Canis lupus familiaris: one gene and its partners. The protein of the gene in region 1 interacts with the protein of each later gene in a pairwise test. Links are inferred from orthologs where the notes say so. Each region holds a gene or a part of one and is shown in the gene's direction. Other genes may lie near its edges.

Region 1 (3,360 bases):
CCACTGCCCCCCTCATCCCTCTGCCCCAGTCCTAGTCAACTACCAGTCTATTTTCCATCTCTATAGATTTGCCAATTCTGGACATTTCATATAAATGGAATCATACAATATGTGGTCTTCTGTGTTTTTGACATAGTGTTTTCGAGGTTCATCCATGTTGTAGTATATATCAGAATTTCTTTTTTTTTTTTTTGGCCAAATATCATTCTATTGTATGGATAGGCTACATGTTTATCTATCAGTTGACAGACATTCAGGTTGTTTCTACTTTTTGGCTATTAAGAATAATGCTGCTGTGCACATTTTGTGTGCAAGTTTAGCCATTTGGGACCTTGCAGTTGCTTCAAAGTTTGAAGAAAATTCTTACATGTACAGCTTCCACATCTTTTGTTTCCCTAATGTAAACTTACAGAAGTAGAATTGCTGACTAAAAGAACATTGCATTTTACAGAACTTGTCATATGGTTTCTAAGAAGGCTGCATTAAAAAATAAAAAATAAGAAGGCTGCATTGATCTTCTCTGTGCTCCCTTCGGTGTTATTAGCCTATGTGCTTAGTGATGGGCTTTTTTTTTTTTAAGATTTTATTTATTTATGTATTTAGAGAGAGTGCATGTGCAAGCGGCAAAGGGGGAGGGAGAGGGAGTCCAGCAGACTCCCTCACTAAGGGCAGAGCCTAAGATGGGCTCTATCCCATGACCCTGAGACCATGCATGACCTGAGCCAAAACCAAGAGTCAGATGCCCAACCGACTGAGCCACCCAGGGGACCCAGTGATGGGCATTTAATATCAAGTGCTATAAAATGGAAGCCCATGAGTTTTTGAAAAGACACGGTCCATGGCATCAAGATGCATATGTCCATTTTTAGACCAGATGAGCAGATGTAGGTACAAGGGTATTAGGTAGCAAGGTTATGTACATTATGAGGAGAGAAAAATAGAATGGTTAGATAAACACCTGCCTGGGATGAGATTCACACAGATATAATCATCAAACAACTTTTTACACCTAGAAGCTAAACAAAAAAGTTAATGGAACCAAACTGGCCTACGACTAGTTGGTCCAAAGTCATAAAATGTCCAGATTGCTTAGTCTGAATGCTTACCCTGTTTTTCAGAAGACTCGGATGTCAGCACAGTGCCTATTGGCTCTTCGGGCTTATCAGATCTGGCTCCAGCTGCTTTGTAGCCTCTATTATCTCATGATTTTGTCACATTCCTTGGAACATCTAAATAGCATCCCCTTATTGCCCTGTTTCTCATTCTTGTATATTCAGAAAAGTACCAATTAAAGATGATAAAATCCACAAGTAGTTCAGCTTTATAACTGAATATGGGAAGAAATGGGCCAGCCTTGCTCACTTACCCTGTTGATGCTGACACTGGCATGATCTCATGCCCAATGTGACCACCAAATTCCATCCAAAGCAACTGACCCATCTAGATCCAGAAAGACTATTAATCTGTAAAATTTGGGATGGAAAAAGTTATAGAGCTCTTCCAACAAGCTTCTTTTAAGCAACCGTTAATGCGGAAGCTGGTTACAGTGCCGCTTTTTTTTTCTTTTTCCAACTACTGAGACTCAGCCTTTTGAAACTAAACCATACCACATTGCAGATTCCATTTTCTAACAGGTCACACCCACTTGTGTTACACAACTCTTTCAGAAAACACCACATAGGTAGTTGGCAGAAAGTGCCCTGCTATTATCAGGAAGTTTGACTGGCAAACACAAGCTTGAAAAAACCAGAAACCTCTTTTCTCTTTTCCTTGCAGCTGTAAAGATGTCTGACAAGAACCAGATAGCTGCCAGCGCCTCCCTTATTGAGCAACTGCTGTCTAAAAGGAATTTTGAGGATCTTGGCAACCACCTTACTGACCTGGAGACTCTGTGTGTGACGAAAGAAGATCTCCAGGAGACCATTGTGGTCAGGGCTGTGTACAGAGTCCTCAAACACTGCCCCTCGGTGGCTTTGAAAAAGAAAGCCAAGCACTTGCTGTCAGAATGGAAAGCTCTTTATAAAAAGGATCTCCACTTCAAACCGAGGGACAAATCTTTCCCTACGGGTAGAAATGAAGAAAACTCAAGACTTTCTCATGACCCAAGTCAGGATGAGCTATCAGGCGGCTCCAGCTCTAATTCTTCATCCCACAGTGTTGCAGAAGCCTTTGAAATGATTGTGCCTGAAAATAGCACAAGTCAGACGGAACCTAAGGAGGAGCATTTCAGGAGTGGTGACCCTAAATCCACTGCCCAGAGATCCAGTGAGTTGCTGGATCCCATGGTACCTGTGAGAGCTAAATGCACAGAGCTTCTTTATGAAGCTTTAACTAGTCCTTTCACAGAGCAGCCCAAAGCTGATTTGTGGCGAAACTTTGCAAGAGAAATTGAAGAGCACATTTTTACCCTTCATTCCAAGAACCTCAAAAAATACAAAACTTGTGTGAGAAGCAAAGTTGCCAATCTGAGGAACCCCAAAAATTCTCACTTACAACAAAACCTGCTCTCTGGGACCATGTCTCCGAGAGAATTTGCCAAGATGACTGTGATGGAAATGGCAAACAAGGAACTGAAGCAGTTGAGAGCCTCCTACACGGAATCTTGCATACAGGAGCATCACCTTCCCCAAGCGATCGAGGGCACACACACAAGAAAAATAAAATGCAGACGCTGTGAGAAGTTCAATTGCAAGGTCACCGTAATCGCCAGAGGCACACTTTTCCTTCCAAGTTGGGTACGGAATTCAAATCCAGATGAGGAGATGATGACCTATGTGATCTGTAATGAATGTGGGGAGCAGTGGTACCATAGCAAGTGGGTGTGCTTATAATTGTAAATAAATGTTCTCTTAACCAAGAACCAGAGTGATGCCTTTTTTTTGATACCACCCTGTTATGCTTGCTTTTAAAATCTAATACAGGGGGGAAGCCCGGGTGGCTCAGCGGTTTAGCCCCTGCCTTCAGCCCAGGGCATGATCCTGGAGTCCCGGGGTCGAGTCCCACATCGGACTCCCTGCGTGGAGCCTGCTTCTCCCTCTGCCTGTGTCTCTGCCTCTCTCTCTCTCTCTCTGTGTCTCTCATGAATAAATAAATAAAATCTTTTTTAAAAAATTTAAAAAATAATAAATAAAATAAAATCTAATACACACTGTTCTTAAAACAACCCTACAAAGAAGGAAGGAAAGTCATTCGTTCAAGCTCACACCACAATCACTAAAATGTGACCGTTTGGGGAGAGAGTTGATGACTTTTTGTTTTGTGGCCACATATTACTCTGCTGTTCTCTGAGTGTGGCTGAGAGCAGCTCCTCCTGCCCTAGAGCCTGTTATAAATGCAGAGTCCCAGGCCTCGTGCTCCTGA
Region 2 (3,336 bases), on another chromosome or scaffold:
ACCTGAGATTAGCGTGAGTGGCAGAGATACTTGTTCTTTTTATCCAGGACAAAGAGTATAAATTCACAGCACAGGGACCCTGGGGACTGTCCCTTTGTAATGTCCAGGACTGTCAGGGCAGAGATGCCCCCCTCCCCAGAGCCAGCTCACCAGCTTTCTGAAGAGGCCGCTGGACCCAGGAAAGTAATCTAGAGTCAAGAAGAACAGGGAAATGGCCACAGCCACAAGTACTCACAGGACCTGGCTGAGCTGGTGAAACTGCTCCAGGGCCTGGCGGCACCAGCATTGCTGTTTGTCACTGCCACACCCCGCACACAGGGGGCTCTGCAGAAGTCTGTAGTACCGCCGGCGGGCGTACCTGCTGTCCAACTCCCCCTCTAGTTCCGGGTCTGTGCCCCCTTCCCCCTTCCTCTTACTCTGCATGTAGACTCTCAAAAACCGCCCGTAGAGGCGCTGAATCATCTCCTGAAACATTCTGGGAGTGGAAAAGAACAGGACGCCCCGCAAGGTGGTATGGACTTTCTCCCGAAGCCCCTGAGCGCCTGCGCCCATCAGCAAGCCCAGGCGAGTCCACTTCTCCAGCAGCTCCAGGCTACGCAGGTAGGGGTCCAGGCGACTCTCCAGCAGGCCGAAGGCGTCAAGGAGCAGCAGAAGGCACTGGGGCTCGTCCGCACAGTTCTCACGCTGGGAGATGGTATTCCAGAACTCGAGCGAGATGTGGGCCTGCAGGTCGTTCTGCAGCACCTCCACAAACCACTCCTCCAGCACCGAGTGCAAGCCGTGGCCCCTCAACACCTCCACCGCCGCCCGGAGCTCCTCCTCCTTCGGCGGCACCGCACCGCTGGTGCGGGAGGACGCCTGCGGTGCAGAAAACCGTGAGAAGGGAACGCGGAGGGACGCGGAAAGCGCGGGGACGGACGGGGAGCAGTGGGGAAGGGACGCAGCGGAGGGGAGGCTGCGGCCGACGCCAGGTAGGAGCTGTCCGGGAGCACAACGCCCACCCGGCGGACGTCCCAGGGACCCCGCGCGGGCCCGCTGCCCTCTCCCGGGGCCTCACCAGTCCGAGCGCGGCCGGCGGCACTAGCCCGGTGCTCACGGTGTTCCAGGCCAGCAACAGCTCCTGTGCGGGCCCGGGGTCGCCGTCGCGCCCCGCCGCCGCCATCTGCGCGGCCCCCTCCAGGTCCCCCGAGCTCCGGGTGCGGCGCGCGGCGATGACGCACACGAGCGGCGCGCAGCGGTGACGTTTCGGAGGGCGCGCCGTCGGACGCACCGCGCAGGCGGGAGCGGCGATGCAGTAGCGGCGGTTGGGGTGGTCGCGGCCTGGGCGGTCACCATGACCCAGCAGGGCGCAGCGCTGCAGAATTATAACAACGAACTGGTCAAGTGTGAGCGGCCTCGCGGCGGGGTCCGCCTGGTGGGCTGGGAGGGCGCGGGGCTCGCCGGCCTGCGGGTCCAGGCGGTGGCGGGCCTGCCGCGCGTGGCCCAACGGGCTGCACCGTCCGTGCGTGGGGCCTCGGCCGGGACGGCGCCGGGGGCCTTGCGGGCGAGCCAGGGGGACAGCCGCTGTGCCGCTCGCCCGGGCGCCGGGTATCTGCGCAGTGAGGGACAGAGCGGAAGGGGAGAGCGTGCACCGCCTCCCGCCCCCCGCACGGTCCAGGGTGCGAGGGGTGCGCACCGTCCAGTGCACCGGGCACGCTCCAGAGTGGGAGGGGTGCTGTGCTCCCTCCTGCCCTGGGTCCACAGCGTGTGCCCTCCCGCTCGCCCATCCCAGGCATCGAGGAGTTGTGCCAGAAGCGGGAGGAGTTGTGCCGGCAGATCCAGCAGGAGGAAGACGAGAAGCAGCGGCTGCAGAATGAAGTGAGGCAGCTGACCGAGAAACTGGCTCGCGTCAACGAGAACCTGGCCCGCAAGATTGCCTCTAGAAACGAGTTTGACCGGACCATCGCGGAGACAGAAGCCGCCTACCTCAAGGTGGGGCTGGGGCCCCGGGGGAGTCTAGGGCCGGCCAAACGCAGGGGCGACAGGATCCCGGTTAGGTGTCAGTGAGGCTGTCGGGGGCCTGGCAGGTCAGGAGTCCTGTTTTCTGCACCATTGTCCTCCCAGACCATGAGCAAAGAGCGGCCCCGGGCTCAGCTAACCTAGACTGGCTTCCCTGGGGTGCGAGGAAGGGGCTTTGGGCTAGTCTTAGGGGGAACGGGCCCTGCTGACCCTGTCTGACCTGCCCTTCAGGGGCTTCATTGCACTGCTGCCCCACAGCTCAGTGCTGGCGAGGAGTGGTGGTGACCATCCTACGTCTGTTTCCAGATCCTGGAGAGCTCGCAGACTCTGCTTAGTGTCCTGAAGAGGGAAGCTGGGAACTTGACCAAGGCCACAGCCTCAGAGCAGAAGAGCAGCGGAGCTAAGGACAGCTGATGGGGCCGTTCTGGGGAGGGGCCTGCCTCTACTGTGCCCGGCAGTGGCTGGGCCTCCGACTATCCTCAGCGTCTTTACTCTTTTTGGCACCAGCTGCCCCCTTTCAGTGTCTCAGGTACCAAGAGGCTGTTGCCAAGCTCCACCTGCCCCAGGTGACAAGGAAACCTCTGGGCACGTCCCGGCCTTGTACTCATGCAGGACTTGGGGAGTGCAGGCTCTGGGTCAGTTCTGTTCAGGGCCTGAGGTCGCCACCACCCCCCATCCCGGTGCTGCCAGAAAGGCCCTGCTCCCTTGTCTCCACACCATGAGAGTGGCCTCACCTTGCTGCCCCAGCCAGGGAAGTGGGCAAAGGGCAGGGGCCCTGCACCTCAGAGCTTGTCCTGGTGGCATGTGACTGTCAATAAAGCTTAGGTTTGTAAAGATGCCCTGTGGCCTGTGCCTGGAGTGCAGAACTGCTGGACACCTCCGGAATGAATGAATATGAGCCCCTGCCCAGCTGGGTATGGTTCATCCTTGGATGAGGGAAGCCTGGACTGGCTTTCCCTGTGCTTTTGAAAAGAGTTGAAGGTATCCTTGAGCATCTCCCGAGACCTTGTCCCCCACCCTTTCTCCCCACCAGGGCTGCTGGCCTCTGGTCCCCAACTGCACTTAACCTACTGCCCTGGAGGTATTCTGCCCATAGCTCCCAGTCCGTGCTGTTCCCTATTACCCAGCACGAGGTCTGGCCCAGAAGGATGCCCTCTTTTTCACCCATCCTCCAGACAGGCCTGTGCCCCAGCTTCAAGGTTCTTTCTTTCTTTCTTTCTTTCTTTTTTTTAAGATTTTATTTATTCATGAGAGACAGAAAAGAAGAGACATAGGTAGAGGAAGAAGCAGGCTCAGTGCAGGGAGCCCGATGTGGGACTCAATCCTGGAACTCCAGGA
Region 3 (4,099 bases), on another chromosome or scaffold:
AAAATGATACCTTCTCTAGTACAGTTTGGTAAAACTTAGTCTTCTGTAATTTTCACATCTGTTTTAGAGTAAATGGCTTTTTTTGTTTTTGAGAGAGAGTATAATCGGGAAGAAGTAGAGAGAGGAGAGAGTCTTAAAAATAGCCTGGTGCTTAGCCTTCAACATGGGGTTTGATCTCTCAACCCTGAGACCATGGCCTGAGCTGTAATCATGAATGAGATGCTTAACCATCTGAGCCACCCAGGCACCCCTAGAACTAACGGCTTTTGAAAATCATGCTGAATGATGAAAATTGTATTCACTTATTTTAAGTAGGCTGCACACCCAACATGCCCAATGTGGGGTTTGACCTCATAACCCTGAGATCAAGACCTAAGCTGACATCAAGAGTCCAGTGTGCAACCGACTGAGCCACCCAGATGCCCCTGTTCACGCATTTCTAAGTGTTTTGTTTAAACTGGAGTATTCTGATAGATCATACAGTGACACGGTTTGGAGATACTTTTTTTTTTTTTTTATTTATTCATGATAGTTACAGAGAGAGAGAGAGGCAGAGACACAGGCAGAGGGAGAAGCAGACTCCATGCACCGGGAGCCCGACGTGGGATTTGATCCCGGGTCTCCAGGATCACGCCCTGGGCCAAAGGCAGGCGCCAAACCGCTGCGCCACCCAGGGATCCCGGTTTGGAGATACTTTTAAAAAAATATAGATTTTATTTCTTTGAGAGGCAGAGCAAGCATGAGTGGGTGAGCCTGGAACTCAGAGGCCTCAATGCCAGGAGCTGAAACCAAGAGGAGGCTTAACCAACTGAGCCACCCAGGTGCCCCTGGAGATACTTTTGCATTAAAGGCCTAGGACCTGTCTATTTCCTTGCCTTGTCACTATATTAAAGGGTATCAGGCCATTGTTAGTTTGCCGATTTGTGCCAGGCAATTTAAGGGCCTGTATTATTTTAGCAACACTGCTAAAGTCACTTCATTCCTAACGTGCTGCACGATTTAGGAGCTGCGCGGGCAAGGACGTCTGCATACCGTTTCTCCAAGCACAGACCATCCACCTGCAGCGAACACACCTGTGTCGACGTTCCAGATTTAAGCTGTGTGATCTGCTCTAAGATGAGGTCTGTATCCTCAGCTCCTACAGCGGGTGACAGGAGGCCATCAACAAGGAAAGAAATATTTTTTCCAAGTAGATATTTCGGAGCAGGACCACACCTCGGACCCGGACCGCAGGCGCTTACGGGGCCGCGCAGAGACCCGCGCATGCGCAGTCGAGGTCGTGCGAGCGGAGCCGGTGGAGGGCAGTGCGCGTGCGCGGCCGGCTCGCCCGCTATAGGCTGCTCCGAGGCGGGAGCCTTAACCTCCGGGAGGTGACGGGACCTCGGGCGCCGGCTGTCTTGCTGGGACGCGCGGCTTCTGTGGGATCTTCGCCCGTACGTCCTCGGAGGGGGCGGCTTGGGGGGCTGCGGCGGCCTGTGCGGGACGGCGTGGGGAGGGGCGCCGAAGGGGGCCTGCGGGGGCGGAGGGAAGGAAGGCGGCGGAGCGGCGGGGGGAGGGGAGGGGAGGGGTGCGGAGCGACGGGGGACGGAGCCGAAAGGGAAGGGGCGGGGCCGAGTGGGGGCGGAGCTAGAGTGTGAGGGGGAGGGGGCGGAGCTAGAGTGAGGGGCCGAGTGGGGGCGGAGCTAGAGTGTGAGGGGGAGAGGGGGCGGAGCTAGAGTGTGAGGGGAGGGTGAGGGCGGAGCTAGAGTGAGGGGGAGAGAGGGCGGAGCTAGAATGTGAGGGGGAGAGGGGGCGGAGCTAGAGTGTGAGGGGGAGAGTGGGGGCGGGGCTAGAGTGAGGGGCCGAGTGGGGGCGGAGCTAGAGTGTGAGGGGGAGAGGGGGCGGGGCTAGAGTGTGAGGGGAGGGTGAGGGCGGAGCTAGAGTGAGGGGGAGAGAGGGCGGAGCTAAGTGTGAAGGGCCGAGTGGGGGCGGAGCTAGAGTGAGGGCGGGTGGGGGCGGAGCTAGAGTGAGGGGCCGAGTGGGGGCGGAGCTAGAGTGTGAGGGGAGAGTGGGGGCGGAGCTAGAGTGAGGGCGGGTGGGGGCGGAGCTAGAGTGAGGGGCCGAGTGGGGGCGGAGCTAGAGTGTGAGGGGAGAGTGGGGGCGGAGCTAGAGTGAGGGCGGGTGGGGGCGGAGCTAGAGTGAGGGGCCGAGTGGGGGCGGAGCTAGAGTGTGAGGGGAGAGTGGGGGCGGAGCTAGAGTGAGGGGGGCGGAGCTAGAGTGTGAGGGGGAGAGGGGGCGGAACTAGAGTGAGGGGCCGAGTGGGGGCGGAGCTAAAGTGAGGGGCGGGTGGGGGCGGAGCTAGAGTGTGAGGGGGAGAGGGGCGGAGCTAAAGTGAGGGGCCGAGTGGGGGCGGAGCTAGAGTGTGAGGGGGAGAGGGGGCGGAGCTAGAGTGAGGGGGGAGAGGGGGGCGGAGCTAGAATGTGAGGGGGAGAGGGGGCGGAGCTAGAGTGTGAGGGGGAGAGTGGGGGCGGGGCTAGAGTGAGGGGCCGAGTGGGGGCGGGGCTAGAGTGTGAGGGGGAGAGGGGGGCGGAGCTAGAATGTGAGGGGGAGAGGGGGGCGGGGCTAGAGTATGAGGGGAGGGTGGGGGCGGGCTAGAGTGAGGGGCTGAGTGGGGGCGGAGCTAAAGGGGGCGGGGGCGGGAGGGATGGGGCAGGGGCGGGGGGACGGAGCTGAATAGGGCGGGGGCCGAGTGGGGGAGGAGCTAAATGCGGATGCGGGTTGGGGCGGATATAAGATGCGGGGGCGGGGTCGGGATGGAGCTAAGGGGGAGGGTGGGGCGGAGCTGAAGTCTGCGGAGGTGGGGGGGGGTCGGGGTCGGGGTCGGGGGTGGAGCTAAAGTGTGGGGCGGGCGGGTCGGTCGGGGCGGAGCTCATGTGTGCGGGCGGTGGGAGTCGGAGTGGGGGTCGGAGCGGAATGCGAGGCGGGCAGGGTTGGGTTCGGGAGGGATGGGGGTCGGGGTCCGGATCAGAGCTAAAGTGCACGGGGCGGGGGGGGGGGGGGGGGGGGGGGGGGGGGTTGCGGCGTCGGAGGATGGGGACGGGGTCGGGGTCTGGAGGCGGGGCGCGGCCGGTGGGGGTCAAGGCAGTGTCGGGGCCGGAGTTGGAGTGTGCGGTCCGGTGCCAGGAGCATCGGGTGGGGGGGGGGGTCGGGGGCGAGCTGGGGCCGGGGCTGAAGAGTGAGGGTGTCGGGGTCGGGGGGGTCGGGTGGCAGCAGGGTCTTGGCGGTGCGCAGGCCCCAGGGAGGGGCGACCGCGGGCCGGGGGTCTCCCTGCGGGGCCTCCCTGTGGGGCCCGCCCGGTGCTGGGCTGTTTGCCGGGGCCTCCCGAGTTGGCCCGCGGGGCTGGCAGGGTCGGGGCCCCCCCCCCCCCCCCCCCGTGCGTGGGCACCGTGGGCGGCGCGGTCAGGAGCCACGGGGGTCCCGGGGTCCCGGCGGGGCCCGCTGCTGGGGGGGTGGAAGGCGGAGGGCGGGGTCAGCGGGGCGGCGGCTGGCCGTCGGCTCCTCCTGCGCAGAGGGGTACTGCTGGCGCCCTGGAGGCCTCGGGGACCCGGGCCCCCCTCGCATTCTCCAACACGCGGGCTCACGTTTACGGCATCCTGCTTAAGTCCTCGATTCCTTACAGGAGCCCTTTGTGATGAAAATAAAATCTTACTGGCTGTTAAACTTATATTTTAAGGCTTTTTGGCATATTTAGTCTCTTACTGTATTTTTAAAGATACGGTTGTAGCGATGAACTGTTTTCCTATTTGGAGTTAATTCTATCAGATGCATGGATGATCTGTGTTTTGGGTATTTTTTAGGTCGGTACTGCTGAATATGAGACGGTCTGCAGCGCCAAGTCAGTTGCAGGGGAATCCCCTCAAAAAACTAAAATTCGTACCACCAGCGAGAAGTAATCCAAGTCCAGATGAAGGGATTACAAAGATGAGTCCTGATGTAAAATTAATTGAGGTAAAAAAAAAAAAAAAAAGGAAGCATAATATAGAGAAGCACGCACTTTTTAAAAAAGACATGTCACTTAAGTTAACAGTACGTCGGGCAGCCCGGGTGGCTCAGTGGTTTA

Evidence for each region. The genes of interacting proteins can lie anywhere in the genome.
Region 2: the proteins of TCEANC (region 1) and SSNA1 interact in binary tests that used the Homo sapiens proteins (3 or more experiments, as listed by UniProt). The two-hybrid records come from large-scale screens. The link is inferred for Canis lupus familiaris from reciprocal best matches to the Homo sapiens genes TCEANC and SSNA1.
Region 3: the proteins of TCEANC (region 1) and RAD54B interact in a two-hybrid assay, tested with the Homo sapiens proteins (2 studies listed by BioGRID). The two-hybrid records come from large-scale screens. The link is inferred for Canis lupus familiaris from reciprocal best matches to the Homo sapiens genes TCEANC and RAD54B.

Annotation. Positions count from the first base shown.
Region 1 is NC_049260.1:10,120,698-10,124,057, forward strand, and holds the end of TCEANC (transcription elongation factor A N-terminal and central domain-containing protein), read left to right. Parts: intron 1-1,776; 5' UTR 1,777-1,784; coding exon 1,785-2,831; 3' UTR 2,832-2,860; downstream 2,861-3,360.
Region 2 is NC_049230.1:48,461,680-48,465,015, reverse strand, and holds SSNA1 (Sjoegren syndrome nuclear autoantigen 1), read left to right. Parts: upstream 1-1,225; 5' UTR 1,226-1,333; coding exon 1,334-1,385; intron 1,386-1,771; coding exon 1,772-1,971; intron 1,972-2,304; coding exon 2,305-2,412; 3' UTR 2,413-2,836; downstream 2,837-3,336. Other genes in the region: ANAPC2 (anaphase-promoting complex subunit 2), read right to left, coding at 236-858, 1,058-1,162. UniProt on the Homo sapiens protein: Microtubule-binding protein which stabilizes dynamic microtubules by slowing growth and shrinkage at both plus and minus ends and serves as a sensor of microtubule damage, protecting microtubules from the microtubule-severing enzyme SPAST.
Region 3 is NC_049250.1:39,848,663-39,852,761, reverse strand, and holds the start of RAD54B (DNA repair and recombination protein RAD54B), read left to right. Parts: upstream 1-1,299; 5' UTR 1,300-1,433; intron 1,434-3,114; exon of another isoform or gene 3,115-3,171; intron 3,172-3,836; 5' UTR 3,837-3,852; coding exon 3,853-3,987; intron 3,988-4,099. UniProt on the Homo sapiens protein: Involved in DNA repair and mitotic recombination. May play an active role in recombination processes in concert with other members of the RAD52 epistasis group.